Linked DNA regions of Tribolium castaneum. The protein of the gene in region 1 binds, or shares a complex with, the protein of each later gene. Links are inferred from orthologs where the notes say so. Each region holds a gene or a part of one and is shown in the gene's direction. Other genes may lie near its edges.

Region 1 (4,577 bases):
TTGTTTCTCTACAAAAATTACGAGTACATTTACCTAGATTTTAAATTTTTATTTCATTAATAAATATTTTTTGTTTATGACAAGAATTTCTTTAGAAATAATATGTTTTTAATATAATATAATACATATAATAATAACAACAATATTCTAAAGTTTTTTTTTTAATATTGTTTTATACAAAAGACAATAATTTTAGAATGCCAGGAAATATTTTTTTGCAATGACTTAAAATTAAATATTAATTAATTAAACATTTTTTACTTACCTCGTCATAAAGATCATAAGCGGCCAAGTTAACTGCATTATAGACTGCGTCTTTACGTAATATTCCTTGAGTGTCTTCGGGTAAAACAATACAGTTGGTTTCATGAATCATTTCAAGCAAAACCGGAGCTAAAGCGTCCCGAAATTCGTGAAAAATTGTCACGAAAACAGTTTCCATACAAGGCTGAAATTGTATTTAATTTATTTACACAATTATTTCTTGTTCTTACCCTCAAACTATACTTCCAACTATCACCACTTTCATCAATCGCAAACGTTTCTGGATCAGCATCCCACATTTCCAACTCTTCTTGTGTCAAAATAAAATAATGCGAGACCAATTTTCGGCAAATTTCGGTTAAAGTATTGGCTTGAAAAAAATTAATTTTGATCTCGTGCGCTTTAAGTGTTTCCTCCTGTTTACACATTTCGAGAATTTTCGGCGGTTTATATTCCACACACAAGAGAATATTTTTAATTAAATTAAAACACTGAATAATGAAGCGTTCAAACAAGAAATTAATTCCATCAGGAGTGAAAAGAAAATAAGTAGTAAATTCGAACGAAGGTTGAATGAAATCAATGAATGAAAATGGATGTACGTCCAAGACGGATATTAAAACTTTCGTTAAGTGTGTAATGAATTTTTCGCATTGTTCCACCAGTTCTTTATCCCTCAAATGTTTCCCTGTAATGTTCAAATGTGACGAAAAAAAAATTATAACCACACAAACTACTCACTGCATTGCAGTGCCATTTTAGCGCGATCAAAAATCACTTTCAAAAACTTCATACAATCCTGGTTTTGATGCGGTTTATAAAAACCAAAAACAGTCAATTTGCGTAAAATCCTCAAAGTCAATAGTGCTTTTTCCAAATTTGTAAGAACTAGTTGCGAAGCTGCGCCTTTCATTACATCATTCATAAATTGTTCGGTGAAATTATTCCATAAATTCAACACAAACGAATAAATATTACTGGAAAACTCTTGGAAAAAACGGCGATCGCCTGTTAACCGTTTCGAAGCAATGGCTTTAACTACATGATGAAGAGTTAAAAATCCTCGATGTTGGACTAGAGAATCAGGACTTTCAATTACTTGTAGTAAAGTCGGAAATAATTCGGGCCACTCTTTCGGACAATCAATTCGTGCAATTTTCGAAATTAAAACCGCTCTTTGTACCGCAATCTGACTAACGGGTTCGTTAAAACTTAAAATTAAACCGTGTTTAATGTTTTGTTTTTCTGCCTCTAAAATAGCGCTAGAAATGGACATTAACTTTAGTTAGGTACATTACAACTTGCGTGACTTACTTTGGTGCGTTTTTTCTCCAATATCGTTCAATACCATTTTTTATATACAAAACTGCAATCCACCGTACGTTTATATCAAGCGAGTGGTTAGATAAAACATTCTGAAGAATGGTGTATTATTTAATTGTGTTTTTTGCCCAATACGTACAAATAAAACTGTGTAAAATCCAGGTTGAGTTTCCCATTCCCGTAATTTGGCTTCAGCCGGTTTTAACACTTCTGGATTTTGACTCGAGGCTCTTTGCAGAACTTCAATTACGATGTCTTGTGTTGATCCCGTATTCATTGTGAATTATAATCATTTCCCCCTTGAGAACCACAATTTATTATAATACACAACAATATACGAATTATTTTCAATAAATTTTAACTTGTGTGTAAGACAAATCGCAAAAGTGAGGTTAGAATAATTTAATTTTGATTTCCTAATACGCCTTACATTATGGTAATAACAAATTTAAAATTTTTTCATTTCAATGTGGAAAAGAAAATTTTGCCTCACCTGACCGGTATTATACAATTATTTTTTCTTAAATAAAATTATCAATTGTCAAAACACATATGACATGTTTCAAATGACATGCACGACTACCACAACAGTCATTAAAAATACCAAAAAACAAAAATTTCCTTTTAATAATTAAATTACACATAAAACCGACAAAATAGAAAATTAAAAACAAGTTTCAATAATAATTCAGATTGATAACAGAGAAGTCACAATTTTATATAGATTGCGTACTTGCGTATTGTTGCTTGCCTAACCCAGTAATTGTTGTTTCTAATCTCAAATGCGGTTCGAGTGTTTTGCAAGAACATGCCGCAAAAAATTCACATACGCCTTGCCGCTCATCGCATCAACCCCTCAATTGCTGTTAACCGTCGAGTTCCAAAGATATTTACTCCGGGACAAGTGATTACGGAGCAAAATGAATTTATGAGGTTAGGTTTGTCTCGTGTTTTTTTTTGAAATTTTGCGATTTTTCTAAATAGAGGGCATGGTACGTACGAAGAAGAGGGTTTTTTAAAATCATCAGTTGCTGGAGTTAAGGAACAAGTAAATAATTTGATTTCGATTCGTCCGTTAAAAAGTCGATATAATGGTGAAGTGGGTGATGTGGTGGTTGGACGAGTCACAGAAGTCCAACAAAAACGCTGGAAAGTTGATACGAATTCGCGTCTGGATTCGGTCTTGTTGTTGTCTTCCGTTAATTTACCAGGAGGGGAACTGGTACATAAAAGATTTTTTTGGTCGTTAATTTTGCAAGTAAGTTGGCAATATTAAATTTCAGCGGCGTAGATCAGCAGAAGACGAGCATATGATGAGACAATATCTTCAAGAGGGCGATCTTATAAGTGCCGAAGTACAGAGCGTTTATTCAGATGGTTCTTTATCTTTACATACTAGAAGTTTGAAATATGGAAAAGTTTGTCTCGTGTTTTTCGTTACGTTTTGATTATACGTTCATTTTTGATTGTAGCTTTCTCAAGGTATTTTAGTTAAAGTCTTTCCCTCGCTCATTAAAAGGAGCAAAACACATTTTCACAATTTCTATGTTGGGGCTAGTATTATTTTGGGCAATAATGGGTTTATTTGGATTTATCCAACTGTTTCAAATGCTGAGGATAACGCTGGTGGCTTTGTGCAAAATTTGGAACAAGTTGTGTCTCACAATAGTTTTGTTGTTTTTTTTTGCTACTGTGGTGTTTTTAGGTCGTTTCAAGGCCAGAAAGAGAAACAATTGGACGTCTTCGAAACTGTATTTTGGCGCTTATTCAAAGTAAAATGATGCTGTACGATACTAGCATTTTGTATGCTTTTGAAGAATCACAGAAATATTCAGTGGCTGAATTATTGATTCCTGAAGCTATGGTCGATGTAGCAATTTTGACTCAGGATAGGTTAAGCATGTTGGAAAATTCATAATAAATAGTTTTTTCTTATAAAAAATGTCTATTATTCGACTTGAGAACGTGTATAAAATAATCGATATAAATAATGTTAGCCTAGTCGAGATATATACAAAAAAGTAAATAAATAAAATAAATAAGTACACGAATTAGACTGTTTACCGTTACAAAATTTGCTCTAGGAACGAGAGTCAGTGCAAATTAGTTTTAATAAGAGATCAAGAAAGTATAACTTTTGCAACGGTAAAATAAAGCTTCCATCACCAAGGCCGCCACCTTCCCGAAAAAAAATCCTTAAAAAATACATATTGCATAATGTAGAGTCGGGGAATTCCCTATTTGATATCTCATCTCGAGTTAACGATATCACAGAACTAACAATGCTGCTCGTCAACTCAACCGAAAGATCAAACTTGATTAAAGCACCAAAGTGTCTCTAAATCTTCAAGCGATGTGTTTCCCGGGATTTAACCACTTCTTCATGTAGTAACAGAACAGCGTACTGATGTAAAGTAGAACTAATAAGGCACAAGTCACACCCAAGGCTAACACTGAAGTCTTGGTGGGGCACGGTTCAATGATCGTTACTGTTTTATCTAGAAACAAATCAATTGAATAAAAACTCGTCCGAAATCCAACACTAATACCTTTACCGAAATCAGCACTCGATTCGCTGCTTTTGAGAAACTGCGATTGTTTCTCATCTCCAAAATCAAGAACTAGGATCTCTTGACTCAAAGTCATGTCTTCTTCCTTTTCTTCATCGGTTGTATTACTCACAGATCTCTTTCTCCTACCCCAAGATTCGATCGAATCCCGTCCCCATTCGCACACAGCCTAACACAAGAAAATCACCACAAATAAACATAAAAAATTAATTACTCACAGCTTCGCACGGTCCCAGACAATACTTGACATTGCATTGAAAAATCACGCCGTATGATTCCGTGAAACGGAAAGCTTCATACACTGATTGGAGAGCATTTCCGTCGGGAGTGAAGGCAGGAAAGATGCTGGGATCAACCGGACATCCTTCGTCATCAATAATTTGGAACGTACTTTTAGAATCTTTAGCCATTGCGACACAA
Region 2 (5,043 bases), on another chromosome or scaffold:
TAATAGACTAAAATTTTCATAAGAAACATGAGAGAAAAATTATTCAAAATTTGCGCTTCGTTCCGTGTTTTTCAAAACACTGCGAATACGGTTAAAGATAAATGTCCGAGATTTTAATAATTTGAGTTTGAGCTACAGTTTAATTGTGTTTTCAGTCGGACGATGCAGTTAATCCCGACCGATTATACGATTTAGTAGCTGTTGTGATACATTGCGGAAGCGGACCTAACAGAGGCCACTACATCAGTATAGTCAAGAGCCACGGTTTCTGGCTGCTGTTTGACGACGACCAAGTTGACGTAAGTTTAGTGCGTATTTGAGAATTCCCGATGGTTATTATTGTGCTTTTGAATAGAAAATAGACGCTTCAACAATAGAAGATTTCTACGGCCTCACGTCTGATACTCAAAAGTCTTCAGAAACAGGCTACATCCTTTTTTACCAGTCTCGAGAGAGTTTATGAACTCTGCTGCTCCTTGCCTTAATCATTGAGAGGATTTAATACAAGTACAAAGTCACCTCTCATTGCATTGGGACGGGTAATGTTTATGAAAAAAGTCTGTAAATATGATTTGAAACTGAAAATTGTTGGATTTATATTTTATTTATTGCATATTGTAGTTTCCGGCCGTACTTTTTTCCTAAAATTTTTCTTTCAAAGCGATTTACCCGTACTTTTCGAAACGAATCGACGTTGATTTTGTTGTTCTGTTGCAATAAATAGCGATATGTTGAAAACAAGATTTACTTTATTGTGGTGGAACAGCATAGGAATAATTGACTGTATGGTGAATTTTACTTGTTTACTTAATTTGTTTTTTACAAACCTTATATTTATTCCAATTAGCAATAATTCTTAGGTGGTAACCAAACCGTGCATCTAATTTAGCGAGTATTATGTCCCCTACACGGTAAAAAAGTAAAATTCACTCTTCTTATTTTGTTAACAAATACTATACAACTTTTAAATATTATATGAGAAACTAGAACATACTGTATAAATGCTGCTAAGCAGATTTTATTTTTATTCTGTAAATATTCGTTAGATATAAATATATTTGAAAAAATGCACTGACTCGTTTCATTTCAAACACCCAAATTTGTTTTATGTCTTTATTACACAAAAGGCGTACAAATTAAGCAATAAATTCATATGGGATAGGAGCCAATTGAACGGCTGGTACTTTCCCACTGACGATGTGTGCAGGCCTTGGCTGTGCTGGCTGTCTCTTCAAATTCACTCGAATGTTCTTCTCCTTAGCTTCTTTTCGCAATTTTTCGTTTTGTTTCACTCTGGTCAAGAAGTCTTGCCTGCACTTGGAGTGATTCACGTGCTCAATACGGATATTGATACGTTTGGGGATAATACGGCCCCCAACACGCTTGTTAACAATCACACCCAAAGCGTGAGCCGTCACATTGAACACACGGCCAGTTTTCCCATGGTACACCTTGTAGGGCATGCCCTTCTGAACGGCTCCATTGCCCTTAATATCCACGATATCGCCGACTTTGTACACTTTCATGTACGTCGACAGGGGGATAACCCCATGCTTGCGGAACTTCCGAGAGAACAGGTCCCGGGTTCCCCTACGATAACCTTTCGAGTTCGTCATTTTTCAGACCTGCAAAAAGGGCACAAGTTATTATAAGACCAATATCTCAACACTGTAACGTTTATTTGTAGTTCAATTTTATCAAAATTATGAAATAAACATGATTTTTGTGCTTAACCTACCTGCCTTACAGAACACGTTTTAAAGAGGAAGAAAATGGCGGACGCAATTTCCGCTTGAGTCTTTTTCTAGCGACCTCTATCCTATTTTATAAATCGTAAATTATTTATTAAATTTGGTTTGTATTATCAAATTGATAATATAACAGGCATTTTGTGGTAAACACCGGTCCATTTGTTGTGCAAAAATGTGTAAAAAGCCACCAAGTGTATTGTTTAAAATATAGATTCCTGTATTGCCGATGTATTTTTTCTAACCACACTTCTTTGTTACAAAAAATATTTTGAAATTTGAAAATAAAAATGTCGAAAGTACGGGAAACACTTATTACAAACTGTGAACGAAAGTTTTTGATGAAATGCTTGTCGGAGTGGAGGGTAAAAGCGGCACATTTAATTTACAATTTAATTCCATCTTCCATTTAGAGGTTAGATGGTCGAAGTTTTGACGAGTTCAGGCCACTAGAGCTGAAATTTGGCAAACAGTGGGGTTCCTGTTACGTTTCTCTCGGCAACACAAAGTAACCTTCACTTATGAAACACTGACTTCAGTAAAGGAATAGAGTTTTAGCTCAAACATCATGCGAAATCCAACAACCCAAGTCTTCACGACCTAGTGAAGGAATTCTAAACATAAATATCGAGTTGAACCCACTGGCAGCCCCTCATTTCGAAGCGGGCAGACAGTCGGAATTGTCAGTGCAGTTGAACCGACTTTTGGAAAAATGTGTTAAAGATTCTAAAGCTGTTGATTTGGAATCATTGTGCATTAAAACCAACGAAAAAGTATGGGCTTTGAAGGTGGATATTAATGTTTTAAACCATGAGGGGAATATTCTGGACTGCGCCTCGATCGCCATGTTGGCTTCTTTGACTCATTTTAGGCGCCCCGATGTCACTTGTGATGGCGAAGAATTCATCATTCACAGTTACCAACAAAGGGACCCCATTCCTACGGTTATACACCACTATCCAGTCTGCATAACATACGCTATTTTTAATGGAGGGTAAAACACCTTTTGAAAATTTAATTGAAAGCTTGTATTATCATGTTATCCACAAAAAATACTTTAGCTGCACGAATTATCACTTAGAATTTTCAATTTGCGGACTTGCTTGTAGGAAATTTAATTCTCTACAACATTTTTTTGCGTGTATTCGCAGCGTTTATCCGTAAAAAATGAGCATTTTATTAAAAGGACTTGCAGTTTTTTTCTCTTAGGGAGTATATTCTTGCGGACCCGTCACTACTTGAGGAAGGTTCCGCAGATGCAATGCTAACAATAGGCCTCAACGGCTTTAAAGAACTGTGTGCCCTACATTTAGGGGGAAAAGCTGAACTTGCACCAAGTATTATCCTGAGTACAGTTTCTAAAGCCACATCTCGAGCTACTGTTGTGATAGAAGAAATAAAAAAATCAGTTAAGGCCGATACTGAACAAAGGTAAAACCAACAACATGTTGCCGAGTTATAAATTAAATTTCAGGCAAGAGAAGGCTTCGGTAGGCTTTCATACTGAAGATAATTTCAAAACAACTCTAGTCTTTGGCCAGAGCCTTGATACATGGCATACGAATAAAAAGAAAAGAAATAAAAAACATAAAAAAGCACAGCCACAATCCCAGAATACGGTCGTTATTGACAAAGGGTCAGTGGAACATGTGCCTCAGACCGAAAACAAGAAAGAAGTCTGGGACGTTGATAATAACAGTGACGATGACTTAATAATAGTCGAAAAACCTAAAGGTATTACTTAACTTAATTGAAACTAAAATCATGTTTTTTTTTCAGTTCAAATCGAACTCCTAACAGACAGTGAGGAAGACGATGTGGTGATACTAGGGCCTGTCAAAAATAAAAAATAACTTGTGGTTTTTTATTAAATGCATTTTTTTCTTAAAGTGTAATAATTTAATAAAACTTCTAAGGACCTAACTTCAAGTGGCGTCATTGTTCACACCGTTCTTTTGGTCAAGCTTATTGCTGTTTGTTTTGACTGTATAAATAAAAAATGTGACAACTTCCTTCTCCTTGACTTGGATCGACTTAAAGTGTTTCATTAGAGTCTGTGAATGTAATAATTAATACAAAACGTGGATTTTAACCGACTCACATCTGCCAGTTGTGCCTTGTTCAGTCCAGGTCTTGCGGAAACTTTGTAGTGCCTTTTGTACCTCCTCAAAGTGTTGACTCCTAGCTGAAACAGGTCGACTTCTGGCACGTCAGTGTCCGTCTCATTGCTGTCATCCTCCGAATCCTTCCTCCTCCTCTTGGTCCTTGCACACTGGATGATCATCTTGTGAAAGTCGCAGATGTAAATATGCTTCGCCTGGCAAAACAACAATAATTTTCCGATTGAACTTTGCGTTCGACTTACTGAATTATCAATACACAAATTTAACCTCCTTTGCGTCACTGTCTTCTGGATGCGCTTGCTGTATGAAGCATTACCGGCGATTTTGTTACAACGTTCACTATTGTCTATCAAACAGCAGATTTGATCAGTGGGTCCTCTTGAATCTTCCTCGCCCGTACTAAATCCGTTCATTATTCGAAGTGGGTACGTATTTATATAATTTGGGTGCTGATGCCAGTTGGGACGACTGTTCTGCACATCTCTTACACGATACTCGACGTTTTAACCGCACCGACACAATAAATAAAAAGCCAAATTAAACCGAAATGATCATATGGTTACACAAAACCACTATTTGACTGGAGTTGGGGCCTCGAGGGGGCTGAGAGGGGGTTTTAAGGCGTTTTGTTTGTTTGGGAAAAAGCGACATCTGCATTAGGTAATCATCACTTATACAACGTTTGGCTTAGCCAGGCAACGTACAGTCACCGGCGTAAAATTGGTTGCCGACCATAAAGCGTAATTTTTTAAACTCGTTTTTTATTATTCCTAAAATACGTCCGTGTGTCCCTATTCAGTTCCAAATGCACTTAAAAATTTTGGAAAAAAATGTGGGTATGTGAGAAAATTAAGAATAAAAACGATAGGACAAAATAATTATATAAGATAAGTGTTTTGAAGTACGAATTATCGTATACGGTTTCTACTCGTTGCAACAATCCGATGCAAAAGTAATTCGGAAACAGATAAAAAATTAGGAGAATTCAAAATATGCATGAAAGAATTTAGTTTAGTGGATCTTATGAGGTCTGTTCATCTCGTCCAGCTGCTTTATCTAGCGTAGTTCATTTCCTGCTTCCGCGATTCGCTCTTTTCCAGTTCAGTTATTCACTTAAAAAAGGAGGCAAGGAAACTGTTGGGAGAAATTACGATAATCAGCTTATCTTTAAT
Region 3 (4,543 bases), on another chromosome or scaffold:
CACTCTAACCTCTCGTTTTTTCTTCAAATGTCAAACACCTAGTGATAAACAAACAATTCCCCAAAAAAATCAAATTAGGGAAAAACAATTCAATTTACTACCTTTTGTGTGATTTTATGTTATTTATTTTAAAGAATTTTCAAATACAACTTTAAAATTCAATACAGCAGTGTTATATTTTATGTAATTAATGTTTAGAGCAATTCCTAAACTTAGGTAGCAAAAAAGTTCTTTTTGGAACTTTAGCAAATACTACAATAAAATTAAGTCTTTGTCTTCTTTGACCCCCTTCCAGAGGCAGGGGCCTTCCTCTTTGGCGCAGTCTGTTCTTCCAAACCAAACAACATTTTGAAACTTGCTCCCAAGTCACCCAACCTCTTATCAATCGCAGCACTGTCTAGCGAAACATCTTCAACATCTTCCTGAGGTTCTTCAAGCAGCTTGGACCTCAAATAAGCCTTTTTCTTGGTGAGGGAAGGATTGGTAAACATTTTGGGGTCATAGTCGAACGTTAGATTATCAATTAGTTCATTGGTTGTTTGGAGCATTTTCTTGGAAAAACTTTCGTTTGGCTCCTCAGAGGCGAGAGCACTTGGGATGGGTTGGTGATCATCATTGAATGGAATTGTTTTAGCGACAAAAACCCTGCTATTGTTCATAAACTTCGGGATAAATTCCACGAAACAAATTTTATCAAGCTTTTTCAATTTTCGGAAACAGACAAGAACTTTGTTCTTTTCCACACAATACTGCCAAAAACTAGCAAAGAGGTCCAGCTCTTCCTTAGGATCCACCTCGATGATTACCGGGTTTGTCAAAACAATGCCCACATCCGTGACCCTGTCAGACACCTGAACTAGGGTGTAACCAATTGGTAGGTCTGTGTTTCTAATTTTGAAGCGTTCACTAACACTGAACTCGAGTGAGCCTAACTCATAGTCAAGCTTGTAGGTTTCAATGGAGTCATTTACTGTTTTTGAAACCTTTTTCAAAAGTTTTCCACTTTCGGAAACGGAAGCGTTGTTGTAAAGTCGTTCCTCTTGGACAAACGACTTCTGCCTGATTTTAAGAAACCGTGTTTGGTCATTCGCAAAAGGGAAAAACAGCAACCTCCTTTGATAAAATCTCCTGACAACTGAGGAAGAAAGTTTCTCAAATAAACCATCTTCATCTTCCACAACTGTCTCAACGGGAGGGCTCTTAATGATTGAAAATAACTCATTGTAGAAAATTTTATAATCGAAGTTGGGCTTCATGGTCACCAACTCGAAAGTGATATCATTAGACTCGAAATTTTTTGCTTCGTTAAGTGCAGCAAATCTTTGGTTCTTGTCACCACGAACGGGGTTATCGTCGTTGGTTATGAAAATGATCGTTCTTTTGTAGAACACCGAATTGACTTCCTTGAACTTTTTTTTGCAAAAGAGGAAAAATGAACTCAAATTTAAGCCGCTTTTTCTTTCATACATATCCAACAATTTTTCCTGCGACAATTCATTCTTTTCTTTAAGCAATTTTATTGATTGTAAGATGTTATCGTTGAAATTGACAAGCGACGCTGAAGCATCTTCACGTGCCAATACCACACCAAAAGGGCTCCAGCTTCGCTTATTTTGGACAAATATTAGCGAATTTGCCAGATTATAACAGGCAGAAATGCAATCCTTAAACGGGGTATTGCCATCGCTTTCGTTTTTAACAAACATCGAAGGGTCGGTATCGATTGCAATGAGGACGAAAGATGGTTTGTAAAACGTGTTAGAACTTGCAGATTCGTCTCCTACGTCTTCGTTATCTGACATCTGAAAAGAATAAGTTCATAAAACATCTTTATTTATAAACGTATTATCAATAGGTAGTAACATTTCTCACCTTGATTAATTAATTAACAGTAAACAATCAAAAAGAACAACAGCAACAAGTTTACACAAAGTTGCGCCAAATTTGACGTTTTGTTGACAATCCCCTTGAAAGCGAACCACCAGAAAACATAAATCCAAAAATGCGAATAAATAAGTCTAACATTTACTCTAACTATATGTTGCTGTACAACGGCACAAATTAATACGCGCCTAACGTAGTTTTTATGAAAAAGAATTAAATTAATTGTGTTTTCTATTATTCGACTTTGTGAGACTTGTAAACCTTGAACTTGGAATGGTTGACAATTAGCTATATAACCTTACTTTTTTCTAACATAACCTTGAACTGAGAGATTTAAAATATAATTTGCAAAATACACTATGCCCGTGGATCACAAAAGAATCAACGGTCCGGAAATTTCAATTCCGTACCAACTATTCGACAAATTAAATACAAAATCGTTGAAAACCCAATTCAGTGAAATAGTGCAGCCGAATGGGACACGAGCCGATGGCAGGACATCAACCGAACATCGAAAAATATGTAATTTGTCTTTAGGCCCTTGCGTGTTCCTTGATCTAATTTTTAATTTTCTAGTCTTGAAAACTGGGGTTGTTAGCCAGGCCAAAGGCTCAGCGTACATTGAATTAGACCAAACCAAAGTAATCGTGTCTGTATTCGACCCCCGCGAGATACCCAACAAAACTGACTACAGTTCCAAGGGCGAAATCTACTGCGAGTTTAAATTTGCACCCTTCAGCTGCCACAAACGTAGGTTGCACCAGCAAGACGCTGAGGAACAACAGTTCAGTGCTATTATGAAACAAGCGTTGGAATCGGCAGTATTCAGGCACGAGTTTCCGAATTTTCAAGTCGATATTTACGCAATGGTGCTGCACAATGATGGGGCTGCTCTAAGTGCGGCTATCACGGCAGCTGGGGTCGCCTTAGCACATGCTGGGATTCCAATGTATGATTTAATAACGTCAGTGACTTTAGCTGTGCAAGGGAATCATCTTTTGGTCGATCCAACTTTAGAAGAAGAACGTTTATGTCAAGTTCCTCTGTTTAAAGAAGAGGAAAACAATCACGGGATTGTTGTGCTGTCGGTTTTAGCGACACATGAGCAAATTTCACAATTTTATCAGAGTGGATATTTGTCGTACGCTTGCTTGAGTTCAGGCATTGAGATGCTTACTAATGCTGCTAAGGACATCGTTACTTTAGTTAAGAAATGTCTTGTGAAACATGTTATTAAGAGTGTAAGAATTGTTGAAGATTAAAGAAATAAATTATATTTTATTTAAATATTTTTTTCACTGTCAAGTAAGGCACTAAAGTTGAATTTTTATTACAAATATGGAGTTAAAAAAACAAAAAAAAATTCGCGAAGTATGAGAACTTTGGGATGTTATGCAACCAATAATACAGACTTTAGTAATTCAGTCTTTTTTAAACACTTTCAACACGATATAATTTATACTGAGAAGTACTTCTTGACATACACTTCAAAGTAGTATTGGAAGAATTTAAGATTTTGCTCAAACAATAAACGAATAAAAAATAATACCTTTTTAATTTTTTTCTTGGTCTCCGTGGTGGTCAAATTCAGAAATTAAACCGTTGAAAGTATAGAAATATGATGTCCTAGACTTTTTGAAAAAAAATTACTTCTTTACAATTTTTTGTATCTTCAACCATATTCGCAGCATTCGCAAAAATATAAAATGGAACGTAAATTGAGCGTTAATTCTTTGCGCACTGTCCCATATTTATCAAAATGCTGGGAATACGGTTGAAGATGCAAAACAGTGTATGGGACAAAGTTGTAGAAAATTAAATTTTCTTTAAAAAAATCTGGACACCATATTTTTATCTTCTACAGTTTAGGTATAAATTAACTTTGCATTACTTGACCACCGGTCAATTCAAACGAATCCTTCGCTTCAGCGTCTTTTAACTTTGGAGTCTAAACCATTAACGTTAAACATATTGTCTCCAGACTTTTTTAGAGGAAATTAAATTTTCTACAAATTCTACAAACATTTTTCTTGTATCTTTAACCGTACTCGCACCGTCTTGAAAAATACGAGATGAAACGCAATTTTAAATTTTAAAAAATTTTTTCTTATGTTTCTTATATAAACTTTAGCCGTCAGTTTTTCACAGTCTGTTAAGAGAGTAGACTAAAACATTTCTGAATTTTTTTCCAAGTAATTAGAGAAGTGGTTGAATTTTAATTAATTTAAAACGTTTTGGCGCCGAGACCGTTTTACGCTTGAAGAGCCCTAATTTTTACTCTACGGTATTATTTTTTGGGTTTAGAAACTCCTGCGATTTTGTATTTCGTTATAGTTGTAGTCCCCCGTAGTTGCGAGGCCTAGCAATTAAATTTTCGTAATGATAAACGTAAAAGGTGTTGTTAAAATTCTTCAAAATGTAGCCTTTGTAGTATCTTTCTTCTGTTTAAATTTTTACACCACTCAATGGCTTTAGAAAATAAAATCAAAATAGAATTAAAGCGTCTTTAATTAAGTATATTTTATTGGAATATAGTCAGTGGTTGTGAAAAGTAATATTAATTTTGTGTCTGGCATAAGTAAGTAATCTTGTTACAATTAGATTGCTTGAAATCTAGTCAGACGAATGGAAGCATATGTGTGTATAATAGTTAAGTTTC

What was found.
Region 2: Rrp4 (region 1) and Rrp45 share a complex: the UniProt entries of both Homo sapiens proteins name them as parts of the RNA exosome core complex. The link is inferred for Tribolium castaneum from reciprocal best matches to the Homo sapiens genes EXOSC2 and EXOSC9.
Region 3: Rrp4 (region 1) and exosome complex component MTR3 share a complex: the UniProt entries of both Homo sapiens proteins name them as parts of the RNA exosome core complex. The link is inferred for Tribolium castaneum from reciprocal best matches to the Homo sapiens genes EXOSC2 and EXOSC6.

The regions. Positions count from the first base shown.
Region 1 is NC_087397.1:169,833-174,409, reverse strand, and holds Rrp4 (exosome complex component RRP4), read left to right. Parts: upstream 1-2,314; 5' UTR 2,315-2,395; coding exon 2,396-2,520; intron 2,521-2,571; coding exon 2,572-2,809; intron 2,810-2,870; coding exon 2,871-3,005; intron 3,006-3,059; coding exon 3,060-3,239; intron 3,240-3,292; coding exon 3,293-3,505; 3' UTR 3,506-3,529; downstream 3,530-4,577. Other genes in the region: Impbeta11 (importin-11), read right to left, coding at 266-448, 495-952, 1,006-1,526, 1,579-1,679, 1,727-1,864; uncharacterized protein tyn, read right to left, coding at 3,934-4,085, 4,137-4,326, 4,376-4,577. UniProt on the Homo sapiens protein: Non-catalytic component of the RNA exosome complex which has 3'->5' exoribonuclease activity and participates in a multitude of cellular RNA processing and degradation events.
Region 2 is NC_087402.1:3,055,584-3,060,626, reverse strand, and holds Rrp45 (uncharacterized protein Rrp45), read left to right. Parts: upstream 1-1,891; 5' UTR 1,892-2,038; coding exon 2,039-2,113; intron 2,114-2,161; coding exon 2,162-2,256; intron 2,257-2,298; coding exon 2,299-2,742; intron 2,743-2,957; coding exon 2,958-3,179; intron 3,180-3,222; coding exon 3,223-3,482; intron 3,483-3,527; coding exon 3,528-3,601; 3' UTR 3,602-3,671; downstream 3,672-5,043. Other genes in the region: Usp12-46 (ubiquitin carboxyl-terminal hydrolase 46), read left to right, coding at 156-299, 356-463; RpL21 (large ribosomal subunit protein eL21), read right to left, coding at 1,137-1,616; histone deacetylase complex subunit SAP30 homolog, read right to left, coding at 3,674-3,802, 3,850-4,065, 4,114-4,284. UniProt on the Homo sapiens protein: Non-catalytic component of the RNA exosome complex which has 3'->5' exoribonuclease activity and participates in a multitude of cellular RNA processing and degradation events.
Region 3 is NC_087396.1:13,655,143-13,659,685, reverse strand, and holds exosome complex component MTR3, read left to right. Parts: upstream 1-2,103; 5' UTR 2,104-2,243; coding exon 2,244-2,406; intron 2,407-2,460; coding exon 2,461-3,146; 3' UTR 3,147-3,171; downstream 3,172-4,543. Other genes in the region: X-ray repair cross-complementing protein 6, read right to left, coding at 264-1,802. UniProt on the Homo sapiens protein: Non-catalytic component of the RNA exosome complex which has 3'->5' exoribonuclease activity and participates in a multitude of cellular RNA processing and degradation events.